Linked DNA regions of Danio rerio. The protein of the gene in region 2 purifies or fractionates together with the protein of the main gene of each other region. This does not show direct contact. Links are inferred from orthologs where the notes say so. Each region holds a gene or a part of one and is shown on either strand. Other genes may lie near its edges.

What was found.
Region 1: the proteins of casc3 (region 2) and upf2 fractionate together in Homo sapiens (co-fractionation; 3 studies listed by BioGRID and IntAct). This does not show direct contact. The link is inferred for Danio rerio from reciprocal best matches to the Homo sapiens genes CASC3 and UPF2.

Annotation. Positions count from the first base shown.
Region 1 is NC_133179.1:1,376,829-1,382,147, reverse strand, and holds part of upf2 (regulator of nonsense transcripts 2), read left to right. Parts: intron 1-1,711; coding exon 1,712-1,872; intron 1,873-2,101; coding exon 2,102-2,278; intron 2,279-2,461; coding exon 2,462-2,599; intron 2,600-3,208; coding exon 3,209-3,312; intron 3,313-4,106; coding exon 4,107-4,192; intron 4,193-4,295; coding exon 4,296-4,404; intron 4,405-5,319. UniProt on the Homo sapiens protein: Involved in nonsense-mediated decay (NMD) of mRNAs containing premature stop codons by associating with the nuclear exon junction complex (EJC).
Region 2 is NC_133178.1:22,191,430-22,196,748, forward strand, and holds part of casc3 (protein CASC3), read right to left. Parts: intron 5,012-5,319; coding exon 4,817-5,011; intron 1,113-4,816; coding exon 970-1,112; intron 828-969; coding exon 651-827; intron 1-650. UniProt on the Homo sapiens protein: Required for pre-mRNA splicing as component of the spliceosome. Core component of the splicing-dependent multiprotein exon junction complex (EJC) deposited at splice junctions on mRNAs.

The DNA.
Region 1 (5,319 bases), on a different chromosome or scaffold from region 2:
CTCAGTAACCAATTTATACTGCACAAAATAAAAATAATAAATAAAAAAATAATAATTCTCTGGAACTAAAAATAAGTGAAAGTTTTTGGCATTTAAACAATAGTAATAATTTTACACTGAAAATAAATGACAGAATAACAAATACATATGTAAATTAAGAGATAAAAAATAGTATTTGTCTAATGTAAATTTAAGCATCATATTAGATAAGAATTTCCCTTTTAAAGTAAACAAATGTAGACAAAGGCTCCTCAACCTCAGTCTGAAAGGCACTTTTGATCAACTATATTATGTATTGTGTAATGTAATGTGTATTTATATAGCGCATTAATTGTGTATGGCCATACACCCAAATCGCTTCACAATCATGAGGGGGGTCTCTCCACACCATCACCAGCATCCACTTGGATGATGCGACGGCAGCCACAGGACAACGGCGCCAGTGCGCTCACCACACACCAGCTATTGGTGGAGTGGAGAGACAGTGATTGAGCCAGTTTGGTGGAAGGGGATGGTTGGGAGGGCATGATCGTAAGAGCCGATTGAAGGACTTTGGCCAGGACACTGGGGTTACATCCCTGCTCTTTCCCGAGAAGTGCCATGGGATTATTAATGACCACAGAGAGTCAGGACCTCGATTTAACGTCTCATCCGAAAGACGGCGCCCACTGACATGTGTATGGATTTTGTATGGATGTGTAAAATCCCTACAAAGTATAGAGCAGTTCTTGTCTCGTGACTCGCGGTTTTGTCACAGTTTTGTTCCATGCATAAACATGCTGTTGAGAAGCCTTTATGATGAATTAACCATGCCAAATTAAATTGCGGTTAATAGTGAAATCAGTTACATCTCTAATTATAATTGACCAGGAGCTGTATTTAATTTCATTGCAATGTTTAACTATAAAGTTTATCCAGGCATAAAAAGGGATGTCTCTAACTTTATGAAAGATTATTATATTTATGTAAATATTAAAACTATAGTATTATTCTACATTTTAAAATGTGTCTATCTGAAGATTGCTAGACTTTCAGAAAATCATAAAGCACTGTGCATTTCATTAGTACAGTATCATTGCTTCACTGTATTTATCAATGTTTGCAATTGGTTTATTGTATTTTTTGCAGATGCTTTCTCTTATAAAATCATCCCAATGTATCTACAATTATAAATTCCTACCAAATAGGTCTATTTATTTTATATGGTGAAATTATACTAAATATTGCAATATCTATTGTAGAAAAATAAAATATCACAATGTCATTTTTTCCAATATCATGCAGCCCTGTTATATAATGTTTGAGACTTAAAATGACAAATACATAAAAATGACAAATTGTAGGTCTTTCCAACAGGGAAAACCAGCAACAATCAATCAAGAATGCATGATTATACTGTCATGGCTTTGCAATCGAAAAATTTTATTATAATGGAAGTCAATGGGGTAAAAACAGCCCCCAACATAACCAAAGGGGAGTAAATTTGGCCAGTCTACTGTTGAGTTTTTGAATAATTCCAAAGCATTTTCCCAAAATATGTGTCAAAATACAATTTATCAGCAAAATCATTAAACTTGCTGAAACACAGAGATAATTGTGGCCAAATTAAGCCTTAAAAATTACCCCAGAGTGGATAAAGAACGACCCAACAGCACACACAGGTATAAAAACAACTTTTATAAAATTGTACATGTGTTTTGTGTGTGTCCAGACGTATCCTGCACTCTAAAGGCGAGCTGAGCGAGGACAGACACAAGCAGTACGAGGAGTTCGCCACACAGTACCAGAAGCTGCTGGCCAACACTCAGACTCTGGCCGACCTGCTGGACGAGAACATGCCGGAACTGCCCCAGGACAAAACCGTACAGGAAGGTGCGACCGCACCATAGAGAGTTTGTGTTGACATATGAGACCACAAAATCAGTCATAAGTGTGCTTTTTTTTTAAAACGTCCACTTTTAAGTAGTTCAAATCAAGTTCTTACCATTGCATAACACTAATCAAATTAATATGATCTTATTCTATTTGGCAAATCCAAATAATGCAAAAGTATTATCGTAAGGTATTTTACAACATGCAGCGTGTGTGTTTTGTGTGGCAGAGCACGGTCCAGGCATCGACATCTTCACACCGGGGAAGCCAGGAGAGTATGATCTAGAAGGAGGAATCTGGGAGGATGAAGATGCAAGAAACTTCTATGAGAACATGGTGGATCTGAAAGCGTTTGTTCCTGCAATCCTGTTCAAAGACAACGAGAAGAGCAGCCAGAGCAGCAAAGGTAGCATCAGGCATTTTTTATGCAATATTTGAAAATGTGCACAGAATTAGGTGGATGGAAACTAGCTAAATGCTGCTTTGTTCAAACATTCTCCAGAATATCTGAACCACTCGAGTATGGCTAAATGGAGAGGACTAATATGTTTTTGATGAACTAATAATTGTGTGTGCTTGTGTGTTACAGAAAGCCGAGAGGGAAACAGCACTGAGGAGCTGGAGATGGAGCTGGAGGCGCTGGACATCGCTGATGAACCGATGGATCTGGATGCAACCGATGAAGTGGAGAGTGAAGAACTGGCCAAAAAACTGCTGGATGAGCAAGGTACAATATTCAAGACAAGCTGATCAGCTCAGCGCAGCTTCAAAACCTCCAGCTTCTGTTATCAATCATTGTTTCTGAGTTTGTTATCTCAAAATGATTACTTTTTATTTATTTACTGAAGTTCTGAGATGCTTTTACTACTATTACTGCTACTAAAAGCTTTTTAAAGTGACTTTTTAAAGTATTTTTTGCTTCAATTCTGAGTTTACATTTAAAATAAGACTAAATAATAGGAAAATAAAAATAATTATTTTAATTATTTAAAATAATAAATTTTTTCAAATTCATATCCTGCATTTTTCTTGTTAATGTTCTTTAATTTAGGTCAGATTTTCAGATGATATCTCATTTGATTTTTAATTATAAAATTGTTATAATTATTATTAAACAAATATGATATTATTACTATTATGATTTGTGGGGATTTTTGATTTCCCTCTGAGTTATGAATTTGTTTGTTAACTGCTAGAAAAAAATAACTAAATGCAGTATTCTAATCTCCCTTGCATATTTTCATTGTGTGTGATCATGTAAGTGTTTCTATGCACTGCTCATCATGTTACTGTCAGTTTCATGAATGAGTAAAGCATCATTGTGCTGTGTTTACAGAGCAGGAGGATGAGGAGGCCAGCACCGGCTCTCATCTAAAGCTCATCGTGGACGCTTTCATTCAGCAGCTGCCAAACTGCATTAACAGAGACCTGATCGACAAGGTGAACGGGCAAAACACACACAAACTCAAACACACACACACACACACACACACACACACACAGATTTGTTAATTTTGTGATTTCTTAACTTAATTATTAGAAGTTAAATATTTAACATTTTTTGTTAAATACTGTAGTGTTTAATGCTATTAATATTTTCTTAATTTTCAAAAGGTTACTTATATATTGAAATTTTATAATTATTCTTTATACTCGTTATATATGCAAACAGTTCAGTTCACGGTTTTCAGTAAATACTTTAAATTTATTGAGATTTTTCTTATGTTGTCTTAATTTTTCTTTTGTAAGTTCATTAGAATTTTTATGACCATTTTATTATTTATTTATTTTATTGTTTATTTGTTTTGTTATTTATTTATTTATTTTATTATTTATTTATTGTTATTAGTGTTATTATTTATTCATTGTTATTTATTTCTTTTATTATTTGTTTATTTATATTATTATTTATTGATTTTAATCATATATTTTTATTTTTTATTTTTTATTTAATTTCTGTTTCTTTTATTCATTATTTTTATGTTGTTTAAAAAAAACAATATATATATATATATATATATATATATATATATATATATATATATATATATATATATATATATATATATATATAAATATACATACATACATACATACATACATACATACATACATACATACACATTGTTTATGTCAGTCTTTAATCAAAAGATTTAATTAATCTTCAATTAATTTCAATCAAAAATGTTGAATAGTTGCAAGGTTAAGATTTTCTGTATATTTTTTTCCCCCAGGCTGCAATGGACTTCTGCATGAACATGAACACCAAGTCAAACCGCAGGAAGTTAGTCCGTGCTCTGTTCACAGTGCCCAGACAGAGGTGTGTGTTTGTGTTCAACTGTGTGTTCATCTGTTCTCCACTAGATGGAGCTGCTAATCTTCTTTCAGTTGTGTTGATGTGTGTGTGTGTATTTGTGCTTCAGGTTGGATCTGCTGCCGTTTTACGCCCGTCTGGTGGCCACTCTTCACCCGTGTATGTCTGACGTGGCTGAAGACCTCTGCTCCATGCTCAAAGGAGACTTCAGATTTCATGTGAGTGCTGTAGTGCATTGTGGGATTGGCTTCTCCACTACTAGTGCTTCCTTTTGAAGTTTGATATTTTATTACATTAATATCTGCATTCTGGAACATAAATAGAGCATCAAAGTACAGCTGGAAAAATCTGAAAATGCAATATTTAAATTTTCTGCCATATATATATATATATTATAAGGTGAAAACTATTTCACCAGATGGCTTGAATAGCTCCATTTAGAAATAATTAATTTAGATTGATAGGGATAATCAATAATGGGATTGAATTATCCATAAAAGTAATAAACAAATTAAAGCAATAGAGAAACACAACAGAGGTATGATAAAAATGATATAAACAGTAGGGCTGTACAATATATCACAAAATTATTAGGATAATAGTATATGATATCTCCATATCGCTGAGAAGTGTACAAAATTGACTGCATTTTAAGTGCTAAGAGTTTGTGTGCTGCATGCATATATTGTTTATCCAGATCTGAAGCCTTACTATCTTCATCTCCACCTGTGGTGAAACGAGCTGAAATTAATACTAATGCTGGGAGACGAAAGGGAGGACAATAATAGGAATCAGATTATCTGCTGGTGTTTTCAGTTATTCGTGGTGTTTTAAAGTCTAAATGTGTTTGTTTTTTTTATTTAATTTAGCTGAGAATAATAGATATTACCTGTTTATTTTAGTATGATCATTGCATATCATACTAAAAGAAGAAATATTGTTATTGCAACACTTAACAACAGTGTTGTATATATTCTCAGTATCATGCAGCCCTTATGAACACTGCTTTATGGTTTTTCGGGGAGTCTAACAGTATTCAGGGACAGAAATGATATAATCGAATGTTAAAGTATAGTCTTCATTAAGACTGTACAGTAAATTCATCTTTATTAAAGTTTCAAACGGATAATTTG
Region 2 (5,319 bases):
CAGATTTATTAAATAGATATATTAAAATAATATTTTAGTCACCAAACATATTTAGAGATCATAACATAACTGGTCAAGTGGCAGGAGGGGTTCTGACCCCAATACTTCTTTTGACCACATCATGCTGACCCCAGGACTGCATTTGCATGCTTCGTTTTGGCTGTCTCTACATATGTCTGTAAAAATGTATGTAAAACTGAGTGCTTGGCTGCACTAGTAGAGATCTTTCGATGAACGCCAAAGCGACGCAGAGTTCTTATTAAAGGATTTTGCTTTGATGATGCCAGAAAGTCTCCCTTGGTATTGTCTCTTTGAATTCACAACAGTTTTTGGTTCCATGACCCGAATTAGTAGAGATCTTTCCATGAATGCCACATCAACAGCAAGTTCTTATTAAAGGATTCTGCTTTGAAGATTCCCGAAAATTCCCTGGTTTGGTCTCTTCTTTGAATTGACAACAATCCTTTACCATCTCTTCTGATAATTTTTAGTAGCATTTCAACTGACCATTTAGAAACTGATTGGACCCCTTTCACATAGAGTCTGTTTAATCAGGAGGTGAGAAATGACAAACAAACATTAAAAGCACAACAATTAAAATTGACATATCACCAGTATCACTTATACACATGAAATGACCATGAGCTCACCTGGGTTTTCGGGAGCGATATGATCGTCCGTCACTGGGCCCTGTGCCATTGCGGATGTCATAGCCGTAAAAAGCAATCAGCTCATCACGAGATTTCGGTGCCTGCTCCTCTTCACGGAACTTGTCATGTTCCCATCGACCTTCGTCCTTCCACAACTTCCTGTTTCTGCCTTTAGGCCTGAAGACAGATGGACAAACAGAGTGGAGGCACCAAAGTGAGAATTGTGCAGCACAGAACTGATTCAATACTTGAAACTTATCTTCAAATTCTGTATATTTATTAATTATATGAATGTATGTCTGAAAGAAACCCTCCTCACCTCTCCTCCTCAGTTGCCTGGCCTCTCACGTCATGCTCAAAGAAAAGGCCTTTTCGAGGGATGTATGCTGGATTTTTTCTGTCCTCATCATCATCCAGCTTCTGGCCTTTACTGCCTTTATTTTCAGGATCCTCTGTGCTTTCCTGTAAACATTTGAGTCTTAACTTGAGTTCTGCCCTGAAAATTATTTGCAATCAATAGCACTACTGACAGAGTGATTTAACAGTCTCGGTGCAGACTGTGGCATCACAGCCAAACACTTTAAATCTGTCAGAGGACTGTTTTAATTATTTGCCAAAATGTTCCTGTTAAAATACTTGCTAAGGGTTTAAATGTGATTCCATCCTAAGGGGTGAGAGTGTGAAAACCGGGATTTTGCCAATAAGCAACTGCACACAGTTTTTGTGCTGATATTTTAACCGCTTTGGTCTGTCATGGATAAATAAATGACATTTAGGCCAGTTTCACATCATGAGCAGTGTATTCTTCCCAGTATTCATGTTGTCAGATTAGTGCATTTACACTGGGAGCAGCAGCAGCACTTGGGTGTCAAGCAGAAGTGTCACTGAGGTAATGGTCTAGTTTAAAGTCTATATAGGCTACAGAAGATAACTAGGTTTTTTAAAATTCAGTTTGGATTCAAGTATAGTTAGGGTTTCTGTAGGTTTCACCAAGTTAAACTTAAGACTTTAAGGCATTTTAAGACCAATATGAATGAAATTTTAGACTTACACAGGGCTAAATGCTAAAAAGTTTTATTTGAATATCCCAATTGGAAAAGATGTTCGCTTGCCCTATCAAAAAAATTATTATTATAACTTAATAATACAATAATAACGATAAAAATATGGGTCAGGTCAGTATTCTTATTAGTAAATAAATGGAGAATGTTTAAACATGTTGCTGTAAGGAAAGTAGTTTAGTGTAATTTTTAAATAAAAAGTTAAGTTTAATTGAGATTGAGCTTGTTGGTGATTATATGAGTGTTAATGGCCAGATCATTAAGAAGCTGTTAAAAAAGACTTAAGACCTACAACAATATTTCAGAAAATTTAAGCCTCTATAACGCCTAAAATGTATATTTTAAGTAAAGACATTAAGATTTTGAGAGATTTTAAGACTTTAAGACTCTGCGGATACCCTGATAGTGCATTTAAAAGAGCCCAAATATGAGACATACACTGCAATTTGGACATCTAAAACAAATTTGGGAAATCCTAAAAGGTTCCTGAAATCCTAGGCTAAAATTCGTTATCTAATATATTCTTATATACAATAATATTATTATTATGGATGACATCAAACTCTGGGTGAGTTTTCTTCAGTGTTTGGCATGTCTTTGTTTTTCAGTCTGACATTATGACAGCAGAGATCTTAAAACTGATTTATACTTTGTGTTCGCTAGTTCGCTTGAGTGCATGCGGCGAATGTGGCGTCATCGCATAGTTTGTGGAAGTTCGCTTTGGGTGCACCGACATGATTTTGTCTGGCAGAGTGCATGAAACTAGAGATTCAAGCGAACAGTTTGTGAGGCACTGCGTTTCGATTGAGTAAATATGAAAAACTTTGAAAAGATCTAGTCTAAAACAGGTACGACATCTATATGATCCATCCATGCATGCATGATAACAGGGATAATGATGAGTAATAATTCTTGGCTAGAAATTGCAACAGCCGTGGAAAAAAAAAAGTTATGTTTTTGTTAAAAAGTTTAGAAAAACTCTAGTGGTACTCACTGCAGAGCCACTTAGGCAGAGCTCAGCTTCAGCTCCTCCTTCCTTGCACATATTCTACAAAATTATGTCACTGGGGGTTGGGGTTAGGGGTGGGGTGGCCATACGCATTAAAGCAGATTACAGGAAACAAACTTGAGTGATAAGTTTGTTAAAAATAAAAAAATAAACCATTCATAGGTCATACACTGATGTACATTTTACAATTTTGAACTTAAAATGATTTATTAGTTACAAAACTAAAATGAAGTCAATTATTTGTTTGATAACGGGAAAGGAATTTTTAGAGCTATCGGTTTAAAATATACTGATGCCGTGTTTTTCTTAGCTTTATTGATAATAATGGTCTGGAATGTTGGACCATTATTGCTTTGACACAGAGGACACAAACTAGTCAGACAGTAATGTGTGTATTGTAGAGCGGGCAAATTCTTAAAAAAATAATAAAATTATGGCTTTTATTCCTGCCATAATAAAAAAACATATATTTGTAGAGCAACCCATGTTCTGTTGTCACTGATATTGAACTTTAATAGGCAGAACTGTCTGAGATATGAACAAAAGCAAGATATGTAATAAAGTTAGATTAAAAAAAATTTAATTTGTTTTAAAAATCTTTATAATCATTATGATAAATTATTTATTTTAAAAAAATAGTTAAAAAAATCTTGACTGATATTAATGAAATGACGTAGTTCCAGAAACTTCCCACATCTGTTAATTTGTCTGATTTTACAGTTGTTGTTTTTTTTTTAACCATCCCCTGTCATTTTAAAGAATATCACTACGGTGAACAAGTCAAGTATAAAAGCCTTGTCTGTTACTCGAGGTGCCAAGACAGTCAGCGGAGGTCTGCGATGCGGAGTCGGCGAAAGTATAAATTGGGCTTTACAGTGTGACTTAAAAAAAATTAAATAAAATAAAAACAGACACACACAAAGTATGAGAAAGTATTTCAGAAAGTAACACAAAAATTATTAAAGAATATGGGTGTCAAAATTAATTGTTTCTTCTGTGCAGTGTGATGCAGACACGGACAATTTGGTATCGGTTCAGTAATAATCATAACCGGTTAATAAGCAGTGACATTAACGTCATATGTGCTATGTCGCCGTAGCTTACTGTGACGAGGGAGGGGAGCGCGAGTATTTACAATGCTCCAGCTACTTAAAAACACAGAAACTGTGTGTTTGCTGGACAGTCTTTCTCTGACAATTACAGCAGAAACCCCTATTTCACTGCGATTGAGAGAAAGTACTCCATCTCTGTCTCTCTCACTGTGGCCCATTTGACCTGTTGGCATCACTTTTCCTCTCCTCTCAGCTGTTACAGCGATACTTCTGGATACAGACACGAGCGCATGTCTGCAGAGTTTTCTCCCTAACATCTATCATGGATCGCCGCTGCCGTTTATCTGTGTTTAAACCAGGCTTTACTTCTATGTGAACAACGCCAGCCCGTAGAGCCAATCGCAGCCCTTTGAGTTGAGCGCGTGACCAAGAACTCAGAAAGCGAGCGGGATATTTATGTGTTTATTTGCTATAAATGCTCGTGTTGTTTATAGGCACAGTTTATATATCTGACTGTTTGTATTAAAGGACAAAATTGTATTAAAAATAATATATAAATATTGACACATTTTAATACAAGAGTTGCTGTACTGTGAAGAAAATATAAAACTGTATAGAAAAGCATTGACAATGCACCGTGATATCGAATTAAACCGAATCGATGGCATGTTAATTGTAACCGAACCATGAGACCAGTGTAGGTTCACAGCTCTATTAAAGAATAATAAATGTAACTATCCACTTCATGTTAGCAGAACTGCAAATTTTACATTGCTCTGTGAAACGGATTTAACTGTATTGTATAATATTGTACAAACATCAAAACAGGAATCACTCTGTTTAAAGTTAATTTTGAAGAGCAAATCAACTCAATTCTAATAGACTTTCACACAGTCAATAGTTGTGATGGTGTGGTGTCAGATTCCATAACGTCAATATTATCGCATAAATATTGCACACCCTTACAACTTCCGCAAAAAACAGAAACTGAATCCTGCCAGGAATTTAGCATAGCAAAAGACTGAATGTTCTGTACTTCCTTACCTGTCCGTCTCCACTCTGTCGCTCGCCGGCAAGGTTCCCCTTCTCATCTGCTTTAACTTCCTTCACACTTTCATCTCTCTCCTCTCCTTCAACAAGCTCTTCTGTCGGAGCATCTGCAACAGGTTTGGATTCTGCAGCAGGACGTGAGGCCTCTTCTTCACTGAAACGCTCTGCCTCCTCCTCCTCCTCTCCTCCCTAAAACGATTGACAAATAACAGTGAATTCCATAAAATAAACATGAAATTTAGCTGAACAATTACATATCAGCAAATATAAGCCAGAAAAAACAACACAAAAAAGGTTTTCCCCTAAACAAAGCAGTGTCACTGTCACCACAAGTCTTTGTATTTAATAAATCAAAGGCCATGGTTTAAGCTGAGGGGAAGAGAGAAAAATAAATAAATAAATAAATTCACAAACATTTTGGATAATCTCACAGAACATGCTTAGTCTAACAAGCAACAGTAGAAAAGGACAATTATAAATTGTACAATGGTCCTGCT